Caenorhabditis elegans: one gene and its partner. The protein of the gene in region 1 interacts with the protein of each later gene in a pairwise test. Each region holds a gene or a part of one and is shown on either strand. Other genes may lie near its edges. The genes, in order: pid-1 and erh-2.

Evidence for each region.
Region 2: the proteins of pid-1 (region 1) and erh-2 interact in binary tests that used the Caenorhabditis elegans proteins (3 or more experiments, as listed by UniProt).

What each region holds. Positions count from the first base shown.
Region 1 is NC_003280.10:7,686,849-7,693,734, forward strand, and holds pid-1 (Protein pid-1), read right to left. Parts: upstream 3,709-6,886; 5' UTR 3,656-3,708; coding exon 3,602-3,655; intron 3,552-3,601; coding exon 3,441-3,551; intron 3,395-3,440; coding exon 3,282-3,394; intron 3,237-3,281; coding exon 3,170-3,236; intron 3,123-3,169; coding exon 2,958-3,122; 3' UTR 2,842-2,957; downstream 1-2,841. Other genes in the region: F18A1.1 (Receptor L-domain domain-containing protein), read left to right, coding at 44-579, 697-1,200, 1,363-1,762, 1,808-2,841; nhx-2 (Na(+)/H(+) exchanger protein 2), read right to left, coding at 3,972-4,200, 4,248-4,357, 4,405-4,572, 4,616-4,705, 4,880-5,023, 5,075-5,348, 5,576-5,901, 5,950-6,083 and 1 more. UniProt on the Caenorhabditis elegans protein: Component of the pid-1 variant of the PETISCO complex which is required for the biogenesis of a class of 21 nucleotide PIWI-interacting RNAs (piRNAs) that possess a uracil residue at the 5'-end (also called 21U-RNAs).
Region 2 is NC_003281.10:4,587,669-4,594,327, reverse strand, and holds erh-2 (Enhancer of rudimentary homolog 2), read right to left. Parts: upstream 1,098-6,659; 5' UTR 1,096-1,097; coding exon 996-1,095; intron 952-995; coding exon 827-951; intron 780-826; coding exon 663-779; 3' UTR 501-662; downstream 1-500. Other genes in the region: apc-11 (Anaphase-promoting complex subunit 11), read left to right, coding at 1-4, 49-120, 170-406; smc-4 (Structural maintenance of chromosomes protein 4), read right to left, coding at 1,508-1,633, 1,682-1,773, 1,823-2,361, 2,406-2,629, 2,683-3,201, 3,250-3,755, 3,805-4,012, 4,062-4,496 and 6 more.

The DNA of each region.
Region 1 (6,886 bases):
AATGAGCAGTGAGGGCACAAGACTAATAGTGAACAATTTTCAGTGTATGAAAATGGATGCCTTTTATTTGAAAACACGGATCCAAGTGGTGTTCTATTATTAGAGGAGCTTCGTCAAATTCACTACAACAGAGAGAATTTCAAACGATCAGCTCCATTTGTCTTGAACTTGCAAAAAGAAGATTGTCTGCACATTTCAAAGAAAATCGAACTGTACGAGAAATTTGGGATAGTTGCTCTTCAAATACTTGACAATTGTCCAAAACAAGAGAAAGTATTAATATTAGATGGAAGACAGCCCTTTGATTACGTTACGAATCGAGATGATATCAAATTTCATAAAGGTGATATTGTACGTTACGCAAGAATTCGATACTTTGCACTGGATGAACACTTGGAAAGATTAGAGAAATGGTTTCTTCAATTGGGATATTCTGATGTCAGAGAAATTGGTAATATTGATGGATCGGCTGAATATCCAGAAGTTGCTGTAATCGGATGTATATCAACTTTTATGCCATTCCCATATCTACAAAAGACCAGAAGAAATTATACATCTTTGGCAAACACGAAGTATACTGTAAGTTTAATTATTGAAAAACCAAGTCTTACATAAAAAGTGAACAAAAATAGTGCTGTAATTAGTTGGCATGATCTGTAAAATTGTATGTTTTTCATATAACAACTCTATATTCAGATTCCAATATTCTATTTTCGAAACAATAGTGGTCTTGACTGTGAGGAAAGGAGAGTTTCAAATGTTCTTCGACGTGTTTTGGGTAGATTCACAGTGGCAACATCTCGAAACTGTGAGTGTGGACCAGGGACAACGTCTACGACAATTTGGAAGAACTGTCAGTTACACCGAGGAACAGTTGAAATTACTGGATCACCAGAACAAAAGAGCCTTTGCAAATATAATTCGATTCGTAAAATTCAAGATGGTCAACTTTGGATCCATGATACTTCTACTGTTTCCAATTTGGATAGTTTTCCGCGTCTAGAAGAAGTTGAATGTGGCCCCGTGTGGAATGAAACTGATAGGAGAAGGTTGTCAGCTGTAAGAATAGATGGATACAATCAGAAATTTGAACATGTGGAGCTACTAAAGATGAAGAAAAAAGACGATCAATGTTTGAAATTTGTAGCCGTTGTTGGTGATAAGAAAAGACTTCCAAGATATTCAGAATCTGAGTGGATGGTTAGTTAAATCTTTTTGAAAGTCTCTCATAAATTGCTGATAATAAATAATTTCAGCAGGAGCACGATGACCTAAATGACATAGCTATCAATAGAATTGGAAAAAGTAAGAATTGAGTTTTAGAATATTGTATAAATTTATACATATGTATTTGGCTTTCAGAATGCGTTGGGTATTCTGGAAAATTTGGTGGTTTGGCCCGAATTATCCCATCAACTCGACGATTGTGAAGTTGTGGAAGGAGATCTTGTAATTGATGGAAGTGCTGGTGGTGTATTGAGAATGGCATCGGGACTTCGAAAAGTGAAACGAGTTCTTGGGAATGTGATCATCAAAAATTTAAGATCAGACTTCTGTGAATTAATCAAAAATCTGAAATACATTGATGGTGATCTCATATTTGAAAACAATCCATATCTGAGAAGAACTTCATTATCGCTGCGAGCTGTTAATGGAAAGATTCGGATGATTAGAACGCCTCAACTATGCTGGGAAGTTCAAAAACTTCGTAAAGTGGTACAAGCTTTCAAGATGAAGCATATATATTCTGACTGCGCCAACAGTAAGTTTAAATTCAAAAATCAAATGAATAGGTTATTCGTTTCAGTTGAAATGGACACTTTATTTGAAGAATACGAAGAAAAATGCACATTCGTGGAAATAATTGTGAGCCTCTGTGTATTGGCGTCAATTTTGATATTTGTTTGCTATGTGATGATAGATGTTGTGATCATCTTCCTGAAATCCCTGAATTTCACTCGATGGAGAAAAATAAAAGAATTGGACATTCATCTCAAAACTGACCCAACAGCTTATTTGGACGAAAAATCTTCAGATGAAGAACCTGATGTGATGACGTGGAAGAGGAGAATTCTGGTTAAAAATCGTCTGGATGGACGGGATGTGATGGGAGAAAAAAGGAAAAAGGAAATGAAAGAATACCGAGCAAATCGAAAAACAATTAATTGGAGACGGAAGCTTGGAGCATTGACGAGATCCATTCAAAAGAACGAATCGGATAGTGAGTTCTCAGGACAAAGTTGGTTGAGAAGAAAAGAGTCAAGAAAGAATGCAAAAGAGATGAATGAAGATCAAGGAAAATATGAAAAAGAAGGTCTTCCGATTGCAGTACTGACTGGTTTAGGAGAAACAAAATGGAAAGGAAGAACGAAGAACATGGCACTTGAGGCAAGAAAAGCTGATGAACGAGAATTGGAGTATTTTGAAGCAGTTCATAAAGCGATCAAAGAAATAATTGACGATGCAGAAGGTGACGAAGAAGATCGAATTCTGATGATTTTGGAAATAATGGAGAAAAGGAAAATTATTGAGCCGAACGAAATTATCACGGACACGAACAAATTCGAAGAGCTTCTGGTTCAACTGGAAAATCATTTGAGTGAACGTGAAAAGGAGAAGTGGATTGCCTGGGCTAAAAGGAAACAACAATTACGAGAGACGGCGATCACGACATATGGAAAAGGAAAAAGCTTTAACATCTACGATAAGCCAGTTAATCTAGAAGAAGATTATAGACTGAATGCTGGTGTTGATAACTCGGAAATGTTTGTGAAAGTGAAAATAGAAACGATGAACTGGAGGTCTTCGGATGAGAGTGGAACTGAAGATCGAGAACTTTAACTTTATGTCGTTATTTTTAAAATGTAATTTATAAAATTTTTGAATTCAACGAAACATCATTTTTATAAACTCAAAACAAGATGAAACAGTAAAAACAGTAAATTAACAGTGAAAACTTATGCAATATTCGAAGGAATGTCGTCGAAAATGGATCTGGCTGGCTTGTGATTGGCCGATACTGGGGTGTGCTTCTGGGGGGTAATTCTTGGACTTCCAGAAAAGGTGAACTGGTTGCTGGTATTCTGAATCGCTGGAGAGAGGAATCCACGTCCAGCTGGCAACTGAAAATGATATAATTTTATGCGTGAATTTAATATTTATTTCTTACCGGATTAGATAGGCTCAATCCGGCTGAAAGTGGTGAGCCAGTTCCATAATCATTCTTCTTTTCTTTTCTGAAAATTAAAACATTTGTTATAATATGTGGGTACTTCACAAACCTATAGATAAAATGAAACTCGTCGCAGTCATTATGTTTTTCGATGATTGTTCTCGGCTTTGCTTTCATTTCGTATCCAAGGGCTGCCAACTCGAAACGATCGCTCAACGTCACCTAAAATTAAAAAAAGCTTTCGTCATCAACATTAATAGATTATTACTTTTCTGTGAAGATTTGTATTGTAGTTGAACCGTTCAGCGCATTTGTGTGCGATATTTGTGTCTTTTTCAATATCCGAGTCGGTTTTTAACGAATTCTGATCGATTCTTTTCTGAAAAAAAGTTTTATTGTTATTAATTCTGAAAAAATGATAAAACTCACTTTAAATGGTGTGGATGCCAAAGTAATATGCGAAAACTCCCTTTTAGCCGACATAATTGGAAAATTCGAATGTCAGCCGAAGAAATTGTGTGCAATAATTTTAACACCGTTACTGTAAGTTTTAAAGACACATGTCCATTTTGAAGGCATGGGTCTCGAAGCGAAAAAACTTGTTACGGTAGCGCGCAATTAAAAAACTTGTAAAAATCTTTTTTTTTAGCTTGTTAATTAACGTTAACAAAATATATGAGAATATAGATGCAGAAAAAAAAGAAATTTCATTCGATGAATGTACATTATTGAGAAAACACAGTCTACCTATTTGAGACTAGTTTAAAACAGAAAGAAATTGTAAATTAAGGTAAAAAACCTATACTCTTTCGTGGAAGCTTCCTGATTCGTCCGATTCATACCCATCGTTTTCAAATCCATCATTGTCGTTGATTTCGCTCCGAACCGAATATTCAACTTCAGTTGTTTCTTGGAATAAATGAGTTGGTGTCATAGGTACAGTACTATGATCATCATAGACTGTTACTCCAAAATTCTCTTTCATGTGTTTGGTGAAATCTATTTTACTAGTCGAACTTACTCCATCGCTGAAAGTATTTGGAATAATTGATTTCAGAAGTTTGAAGAAACTTACATCATTGTATTTGTTCGACTTCTTGTATGTTCAATAAGAGCTTTTGTAAATACCATATTACTATTTAAATCTCCACGTGCAATCTTCTTTGCATCTTCATCAACCAAATGCTGTAAATTAATTATGAATAACAATATCATTAAGCGTATTACCATACCTTGTACTTTCTGACCAATTTAGTCTTATCCATCTCCTTCATATTGTTCTTATTAACTAAAATTGGTCTCAAATAATTATTGTTGAGTGCATTCCACGAATCACGAATCCAATGATGCCCCTTGAAACCGGCAATGTCTTCCATTCCAGCCATAGTCGTGTCGATAAGCTATAATTTTCATTTCACTGGAATTTTGGTTCTGAAAACTCACTTCGCTGTAAATATGCTCAATCATGTTCTTTGAGTGAACATTCTTTTTCTCAACTTGTAGGAATTCGGCAATTGGTTTCAGTGTAATTCCCTGAAAATGTTAAAAATCTATTTTAGAAGTATTGGAAATAATCCAGATTTTTTTTCAAAATTTAACTAGGCACATTAGAAGGCTATGTAAATGAAATGCTGAAAAGTAATAGTAAGGTATGTTTTTTAAAAACATCACGGGTATAAAATATAGCTAGATTGTTTAAAAAGATACCTGGAGGAATACAGTGAAGTAGATGACAATGATACAACTGGTGACAAACATATTCTTTCCGGGTATAAAATCTGGAATTGCAACGACAAGACCGTATGCAATGGCACCACGAAGACCTCCATAAGCCATGATAAATTGGTCTACCTGTATGAAACATATACTTTTTTTTATCAAATAACACAAATTAATTCTCACCTTTGTGTACTTATTCAGACGATACTTATTCAAGAAATAGCACATAACAACAACTCCAAGGGTACGGTAGATCAAGCAGAAAACTACAGTAAGAACGATGAAAGATGTGTCCCAGTGATGGTTTGAGGATACTGTTGAGAGTCCCAAAAAGACAAAGATAACTGTTTCCGATGCAAGAGAAAGCACTTTGATGAATGATTCTGTGGCTTTTACCGTGTCTGGGTCCACATTTTCACGGCAGTACTGACGCATGGCAGCACCACAAAATACAATTCTGCAAAAATTTTATTGAAAATTAGTTCTAGTTATATTTTGTTTCAGTTTTACAGCTCTGGAAGAGAATTACGGTTTTTGCCAAAACTTTTCATATTAGTATCTTCAATCTCTAGACCTTAAGTTTACATTTTAAAATTCCGATTTTTAATACAAAATTTAATATGAAAATATGAGTAGGGCTAAAGTTTCAATATAAAAAAGAAATTCTGAAATAAATTAACTTACGCCATAATACTTGAAAGACCGAAAAGTTCTCCACAAAGATAACAAGTGTACGGAAGAATGAGAATAAATACAGAATTGAGCACTTTGACCTCTTCATCTCTAGCAAATCTTGTAACAAGACTTGTCAAAAATGCAAAAAGAAGACCAATTCCAATTCCACCAAATGCAACAACCAGGAAAGAAACACCTCCATTGATATAATCAGATGTTATCAGATTCTCAGTTCCAATTTCAGAGAAGGTCAAGAACATTCGATAAAGTACAACAGCAACTCCGTCGTTCAATAGAGATTCTCCGAACACGGCAATAAAAAGAACTTCGTTGACCTGTAAACTTTGACTTTGTTATCAGAGAAATTTGGGAGACTGTCTCACTTTCAATTCCTCGAAAATGACAATTACAGCAACTGGATCTACATCAGCAGCAACTGAACCGAAGAGAAGCATATGCATAAGTGGAGTTTCAACTGAGAATAATCCAGTCAAACTGATGGCCCATAAGGAGAGAGCTGTAAATTATTAGATTTATTTCCAAATTTATCTTTAACTAGGCATAACGGTTTCAAAGATATTCAAAACTTTTCTAGACTATTTCAAATTGTTATCTTATCACTAAAATTGCTAATGTCCTTTGAGGTTACTATTTTTGAAGTTACAAGCTACAAAATTATCATTATTTTTAATTGGAGTTTGAAAATTCATAGTCATGTTGTTTTACTTTGTACATAAATATATTAGTTGTGAAAATATTAAAACTAACCAATTGCGACAATATTGAATGAAGTTCCAATCATTGCAAAACAAAGAATTGATCCAAAATTATCGAAAAACTGTCTTGCAGGCATAAAGTATCCGGCATCAAAAACAAGTGGCGGAAGTAGATAAAGCATGAATACTTCACTTTCCAGGAAAAATGCATTTTTATTGACTCCGATCAATTTGAAAATGATTCCAATAATTAAACCAATCATGATGAGTAACGCGGAATCCGGGAAAAGTTCATTGAGATGTGGAATCAAGTTGAAAACTGAAAAATTGACAATTTTTAGACTGTCTTTTTAATATTGTAATAACTATTGTTTATTCTTTTTCTTCCAGGACATTCAAGTTTTCTTCGAAAGACTTGGAAAGTTGATTATCAAACAAACAGATTTACAATTTTTCAGAATAATTTTGATCTCAAAACATATATTCTTTGTAAGATTATATTTAATTTATGATAGACCGAAAATGCCAATTATCGAAACAAGTCTTTTTAAGTGTCAACTCTTCAATTCCCTGATTCAATTAGCAGTTTAATTTCCTGAGCATC
Region 2 (6,659 bases), on another chromosome or scaffold:
TACTGTAAGACATATAAGAAATAATTCGTATCATATTTCGGTTTTCAGATGCAGGATGATCATCCAGGGATTCTATTAAAAACCAACACTCGGATGAGCATTACCGTCAAAAAGTTACATGTTAGTTTGTCAAAAAAAATTGAAGTTTCAAAAACTTGACATTTTTCAGGTTTGTGGAGAGTGGAAGTGGTTACAAGGAGGTGAAGATACCTGTGGAATTTGTCGAATGGAATTTGAATCGGCGTGCAACATGTGCAAGTTTCCAGGAGATGATTGCCCATTGGTTCTGGGAATTTGTCGCCATGCTTTTCATCGTCATTGCATCGATAAGTGGATTGCAGCACCAACTAACCAACCAAGAGCTCAATGCCCGCTTTGCAGACAAGACTGGACAATTGTAGAGTAATCTACGTTTTTATCTTGTGTTTCCATTTTTTCATGTCAAATGATACTCAGTTTTCCTCATTTGTATTTTAAATTAACAAGAACGAAGACTTTTTAAATTGAAATATTCATAGTGAGAAATTCATCAGAAAGTATAAAAATATCGCAATTGAAATCGAATTGTAAATTGAGCAAGAATCATTGAAAAGGAAGAAGAAATAAAAGACCGGCGAGCACATGAAGATCAGAGCGAGATGAGAATAATATTTCCAATGTAATCAATACCCAACAATGACTTTCTCTCCACCTTCCGGATGCTGACAACGACCACGCATCATCTCGTAGACTTGTTGTTTGATCCATGCACGTGTACGACCAATGTATTGCCCGGTTTCCTGAAAATGAATTGATTTGGGAGGATATGCAGATCAATAATACATACGCGATTGAAGATCATCATAGAAACATCGGAGAGCTTATCGAGAAACTCGTAGACTTGCGACACGTCGTATGTGACTGGAGCAGCTGATTTCTTGGAAAGGAAATCTTCAAACATCTTGCAAAGAGCTGAAAAATTCCATTAAACATAATAATTCTCACGGAATGGTTACCATCAAGAGCGTCAGTTACACTCTCATAATCTCCCCAAGTCCGTGAATCAAGACGTGGTGATGTTTGAATCAGAAGTACGGTATGTGAAGAAGTAGACATATCTGAAATTACATGCATAACACGAGTTACAGTGAAAATCCACAAAATAAATAGTGAAAATGGAAATCTGAATCAGATTAACCATGAGGGATATACTAGTCAACGCTTCACCGATAAACGTTCTTATTTCAAACGAAAAGACACATAGCTCAATTATATCATTAAATTACAGTTTGGAGCCGAAAAAAAAATACAACGCAAAATGGCTCAAACTTTGGCCCTCAAATTAAATATAATTGAGAATAAGAATAAATAAAAAGGAAAAGGGAGAGATTTCTTGAACAGGGAGAGGTTAAAGAATTGCACATGAGTATCATTTGCGCGAGTTTAAAATAATAATAAACGGAAGAGTCGAGGGATCAGAGAACTAATACCCGTCAAAACAAAAGAGGATAGAACTTTTTTGAATGAATTATTCCATATCATCATCGTCATCAACGATTGCCTTCTCCTTCTTTTTACTCGACGGTGTCAACGGTTTCATTGGAGATCGTTTTGGTGTACTTGCGGAATTTGAACGCTTTGAAGGTGGAGTAGTCTGAAAATGGGAAATAAAATGAGTCTCAAATTTTTTAATGAAACTAACCTCATCGGCCTCTATGTTTCGTGCCTTTCTCGGGCTACGAACATTCTGTGACGACGATCTTTCGACAAGGCGTGGAGCAGGATATTTCATTTCTAAAAATAAGTTGTTTCATTTTCATAATAAATACGCCATTGGTCTTACGATTTATACGAGATTCGGGTCGACTTGCTGACCGACTAGCCGGTCTTTCAGTTCCATCGCCACTTGTCGTTGCTTTGGATTGTGGTCTTGAAGTGACATCTCGGGTAGTTTGAATCAATTCTTTCCTGACACGTCCTTCAACGTTAACAATCTTTTCGGCCTTTGAAATCTCATTTGATGATGGGAAGTTCGGATATTGTTTTTCTTGTGCAATCATTTCCTTATTCTGCCGACTCATTGTCTCATTGAATCGTTGAGTTACTTCATCAGGAAGAGTACACGTGGCCTGCCCCAAACTGTCCGTAATTTGCTTCGCCATCTCACAAACTCTCAATGGATCAATGGCTACATTACGAGTACACCCATCAACTTTATAGATACCAACGAGACGATTGGCGAGTTCAAACATATTATTTCTCAAAGAAATAATAATAAACTGCGCGTTTTCAGTCTTTTGTCGGACGTATTGGGCAATAATCGAAACGTTACGATAGTCGAGAGCAGCATCGATTTCGTCCATAACGTAGAATGGAGTAGGTCTAAACGAGGGATTATAATAATTATTAAAGAAAGTATTTAGTACCTGAACATGTGGAGCGCAAAAATGAGAGCCAATGAGGACAATGTCTTCTCTCCACCCGAAAGGAATTGAATTTGCTTCCAAGCTTTCTTCGCTGGGCGAACCATAAAACTGATTCCTTGTCGGAATGGATCGTCTTTATCAATGTATTCCAATTTGGCATCTCCTCCGTCAGTTAGCATTTTGAAAACGGCAACCAAATGTTTTCCAATGAATTCGAATGCAGACTGAAATATTTTTTAAAAATTAATCAGAAACCTATCAACGTCTGATTTCTTACATGGAATTCTTCAAGTCGCATCTGCTTGATTCGTTGAAGTTCTTGATTATGTTTTCGATGTACTTCTGTGGCTATTGTCAACTTGATCACTTGTTCATTGTATTGCTTGACCTTATCAACATAAGCTTTAATCGATGAGATATCAACTTTAGCTTTCAATGCTTCCACTTGTTGTTCACACACTTTCAGCTTCATTTGCATTTCTTCAGCGTCTCGGCTCGAAATCTCGTTGATTTTCTCGTCGGACAGAAGCTCGACCGGTACCCGGTCCTCTCCGTCGACATTCTCATACGATTCAGTGTTTTCCAACACTTTCTGTCGCATTTCGAACTCGAGAGCGTACGCGGCGTCACTCATCACGCAGGCCATATGCTTCTTTTGTCGTTCAACTTCTTCTGGACTCTGATTTTCATCAACCACCGGCATTTTATCATCGATTTGCATTTCGAGATCTTCTGGCCGACTTGATTCGATGAGAAATTGGAATCGTGGGATTCGATTAACTTTCAAAGCAGCGAGCTGTAAAAAAAGAACATTTAATTTAATAGATTTTTATTAATAACAAACCTTCTTTTCAATATCCTCAACCTTTAATCGATCTGCCAACATACTTTCCTTCAACTCCTTTATTCCCTCACTGCACTTTTTCAATTCTCCCTCCAATTTCGTCTCTGCAGCTGACAATTCCGATTGTTTCTTCGTCATTTCCTCTCCTTTTGTCTGTAACTTCTTGATTTGCTTTTCAAAGCGCTCAACCGTTTCTTTCTTCGATTTCACTTCCTCATCATCGATTGCTTTCTCCATCAATTCTTCGCACTTTTTCTTCATCTTCTCAATGTCTTTATCGTGTCTGGAAATGTTCTCATCGCACTTTGCAATGTTTCTGCCCGAATTGGAAATATTTGCAGTTTCTTTGGCGATATCCTTCTCAAGTTTTTGACGTTTCTGAAGAGACTCTTTGGCTTCGTCTCGATGACATTGTACAAGTTCCTTGAAGATTCCGTCAAGCTTACTCTGAATTTCAGCTTGACGAGCTTTTACTTTCGCAGCTTCTTCGCCCAACTCATCTCGTTCTGAAATGAAATATATTACCCAAATCATGATGATATGACGGAAAATTACTTTTTTCGAGCTCCTCAACAATCTTCTGTTTATCTTCTAATGTCTTCGCATCCACCTTAACTTTCGCTGCTTCTTTTTCTTGATTTGCGATCGTTTTCTTGAGGGTTTCAATTGCTGGAGCTGCAGATTGAACTGAAGAAGTCACAATAGACAAACGATTACTCATTTCAGCGACTTTGCGACGTGCTTCGATTAGCTGTCCGTCCATCTAAAAATCGGTTTGTTATATTTTATATTTTTATCCTTTAATATCTTACTTCATGCTCTTGTCCTTTAAGTTCATCAGCTTCATCTCTCAATTTTCCAAGTTTTTCAGCTAAATCTCGTTCAGCGGCTTTATCTTCAGGTGTCACTTGTTTAGCCATCTTATTTTTATCCGTGAGAATGAGACCTTTCACTGTTTTTCCACCTCCTGTGAATGATCCAGATGGGTGAATCATAGAACCTTCTAGTGTGCACACGGTAACACCACGACAAGCGGGCATTCTATGCATTCGCTGAGCTTCCTGGGTAGAATCGCCCACAATTGCACTACGCACCATATCATAGAATGCTGGTTTAAGAACAGGATCACAATCAATCAGATCAATAAGACGAGGAGCAGGTAATGGGTTCGTCGGATTGGGAGCTAAATCTCTCTTATCACACTTAATTTTGTCCAATGGCTGAACAGTTTGTCGAGGTAATTTATTCTGAAAACCAATGTATTCCTAGAAAATGAGGGTTATAAAACTTACAGCAACTAAAAAATTGATGACATTTTTTGCATCTTCTTCTTTCCCTACAATAAGATAGTTGAGACGGGCCCCGAAATTTGTGCAAATCGCTCCCTCATATTTCGGATCAATGACACCGAGATCACCAAGACGACCGTGAAAACTTTTAATTCTTCCAGCTTCTTTTTCCTTCATTAAGGCTTGAATAACTTTATTCGAACTTGAGCAAGACGAGTTTTGCTGGCGAAGAGTTTCGAGACGATCACGCGTTTTTGCCAACTGTAAAATAGGATTTATTTAAATTTATCAGGCTTTTTGAAAACCTACATCTTGATTCTTCTGTCTTGCCGTATTTCGAAGAGTTGGCAATTCTGTACTCAGTTGTTTTAACTTATCATTCCAAGAATCAAATTCCGGCTTCAGCTTATCTAACTCATCCTTCTCTTTCGCATAACTTTCTTCTGAAGATTCTAATCGTTTCTTCAGTTCGATAAGCTTATCCGTTCCAGAATTCGCGAGCTTCTTTAAATCCTCGAAATCTTCCCGTGCAATCCTTGCTTCACCTCGAACTTTGTTAAATTCGTTGCTCTTCTGCGCCCAAGTCTCTTGAATCTTCTTTTGTTCTTCTTTTGGCGCTTCAGAGCGTTTTTCAAATTCATCAAGATTCTTGTCGGCTTCCTCGTTAGCTGTTTTCTCTATTTCAAGCAACTGTTCCACTTCTTCCTGACATTTTGCGATTTTTCTCTCCGCCTTTTCGGGTGCTGCTTCCAGATTTGATCGCTTTTTAACCTCTTTTTCCTTCTCAGCTTCCGCCTTTGAAATATTAGCTTGATGCCTTTTCAAAGCCTCCTTCCTGCGAGTCTCTTCAGTGCCCAAGTCGCTCAATTCCTTAGATAGACTATCAAAGTTTTTGTCGAGTTTCGAACGCTCTTCAATCATAACTTTCTGAGCTTCCTCAGATTGTTTGTATTCGTTTTTGTTGGTATCCAGCGTTTCAGCAATCGATTTCATTTCTTCTTTCATCTTGTCAAGTTCGGCTTGTTTTGGAGCAATTTTATCTAGGTATCGTTGCCTTAAAACGTTAAATGTTATTTTAACCTGGAATATTTCAGAACTACCGTCTTCTTTGCTCCAATTTCATATGAATCGTTGTAGCCTCGTTTTCTTTCATCAGAAACTCAATTGCAGCTCTAACTGGATTCTCCATAGCTACTTTGCTGTTTCTGGCGTGATCACGAGCGATTCTTTGTTGAGAAAGATCACAAGTAAGACGATTGACGCGTCGCTGGAATAATTTAACAAAGGGCTCGAGTCGGTTTGTTCCGATAATATCCTCCAAATATTCAACCATTCCAGTTTCACTTTTGGTGGTTTTCACTGGTTTCATCATTGCAATTTGTTCGACTTCTCCCTGAAAAAAATGTTTATTACCGGTTTTATTGTCACTTTTACCTGAAGAATTAGAAAACGATTATGCTCAATATCAATGTCAACGCGTCGTAGGCGTGCTTCAACTTCATTCTTCGTTGCCGGTCGACCATCGATAGCATATGAGCTTGAGTTATTTTGAAAAGCAGTTCTAGAGATTGTGAACTCAGAATCCTTGACGACTTCGTAATGCCCAGGCTGAAAAAAAGCAAATTTATATTTTATTAGATTCTCTGATTCACTTACAATATCGACGATCCGCTGAAAATGAATAGTGACTGTGCATTTGTCTGGATTTCTTCCAGCACTTTTGTGAATCAAATTTGACACTTTTGCAGAACGAATTTTGGAAGCACGGAAACCGAAAACGAATAAGAGCGAATCGATTAAATTAGACTTTCCAGATCCATTTGGACCGATAATTGATGTGAAACTTTTGTGAAATGGTCCAATGGAAGCCTTGCCGAAGTAACTCTTGAAATTGTCCACTTCAACATTGCGAATCATCAAACGATCCGCCCGATTCGGTTTTGTAAGGAAATCGGGTCGCGATGGCAGTTGCTGTAAAATGTAATGACTTTAATATTAAAAACAGAGTAACATACCAATGAGAAAAGATCACTGTCGTCGTCCTCTCCGTCGCTTCCATCAAATTTTTCATTTACCGCTCTCTGAATAAAAATTTCAGTTTTATTGCTGCTTTTAAATATT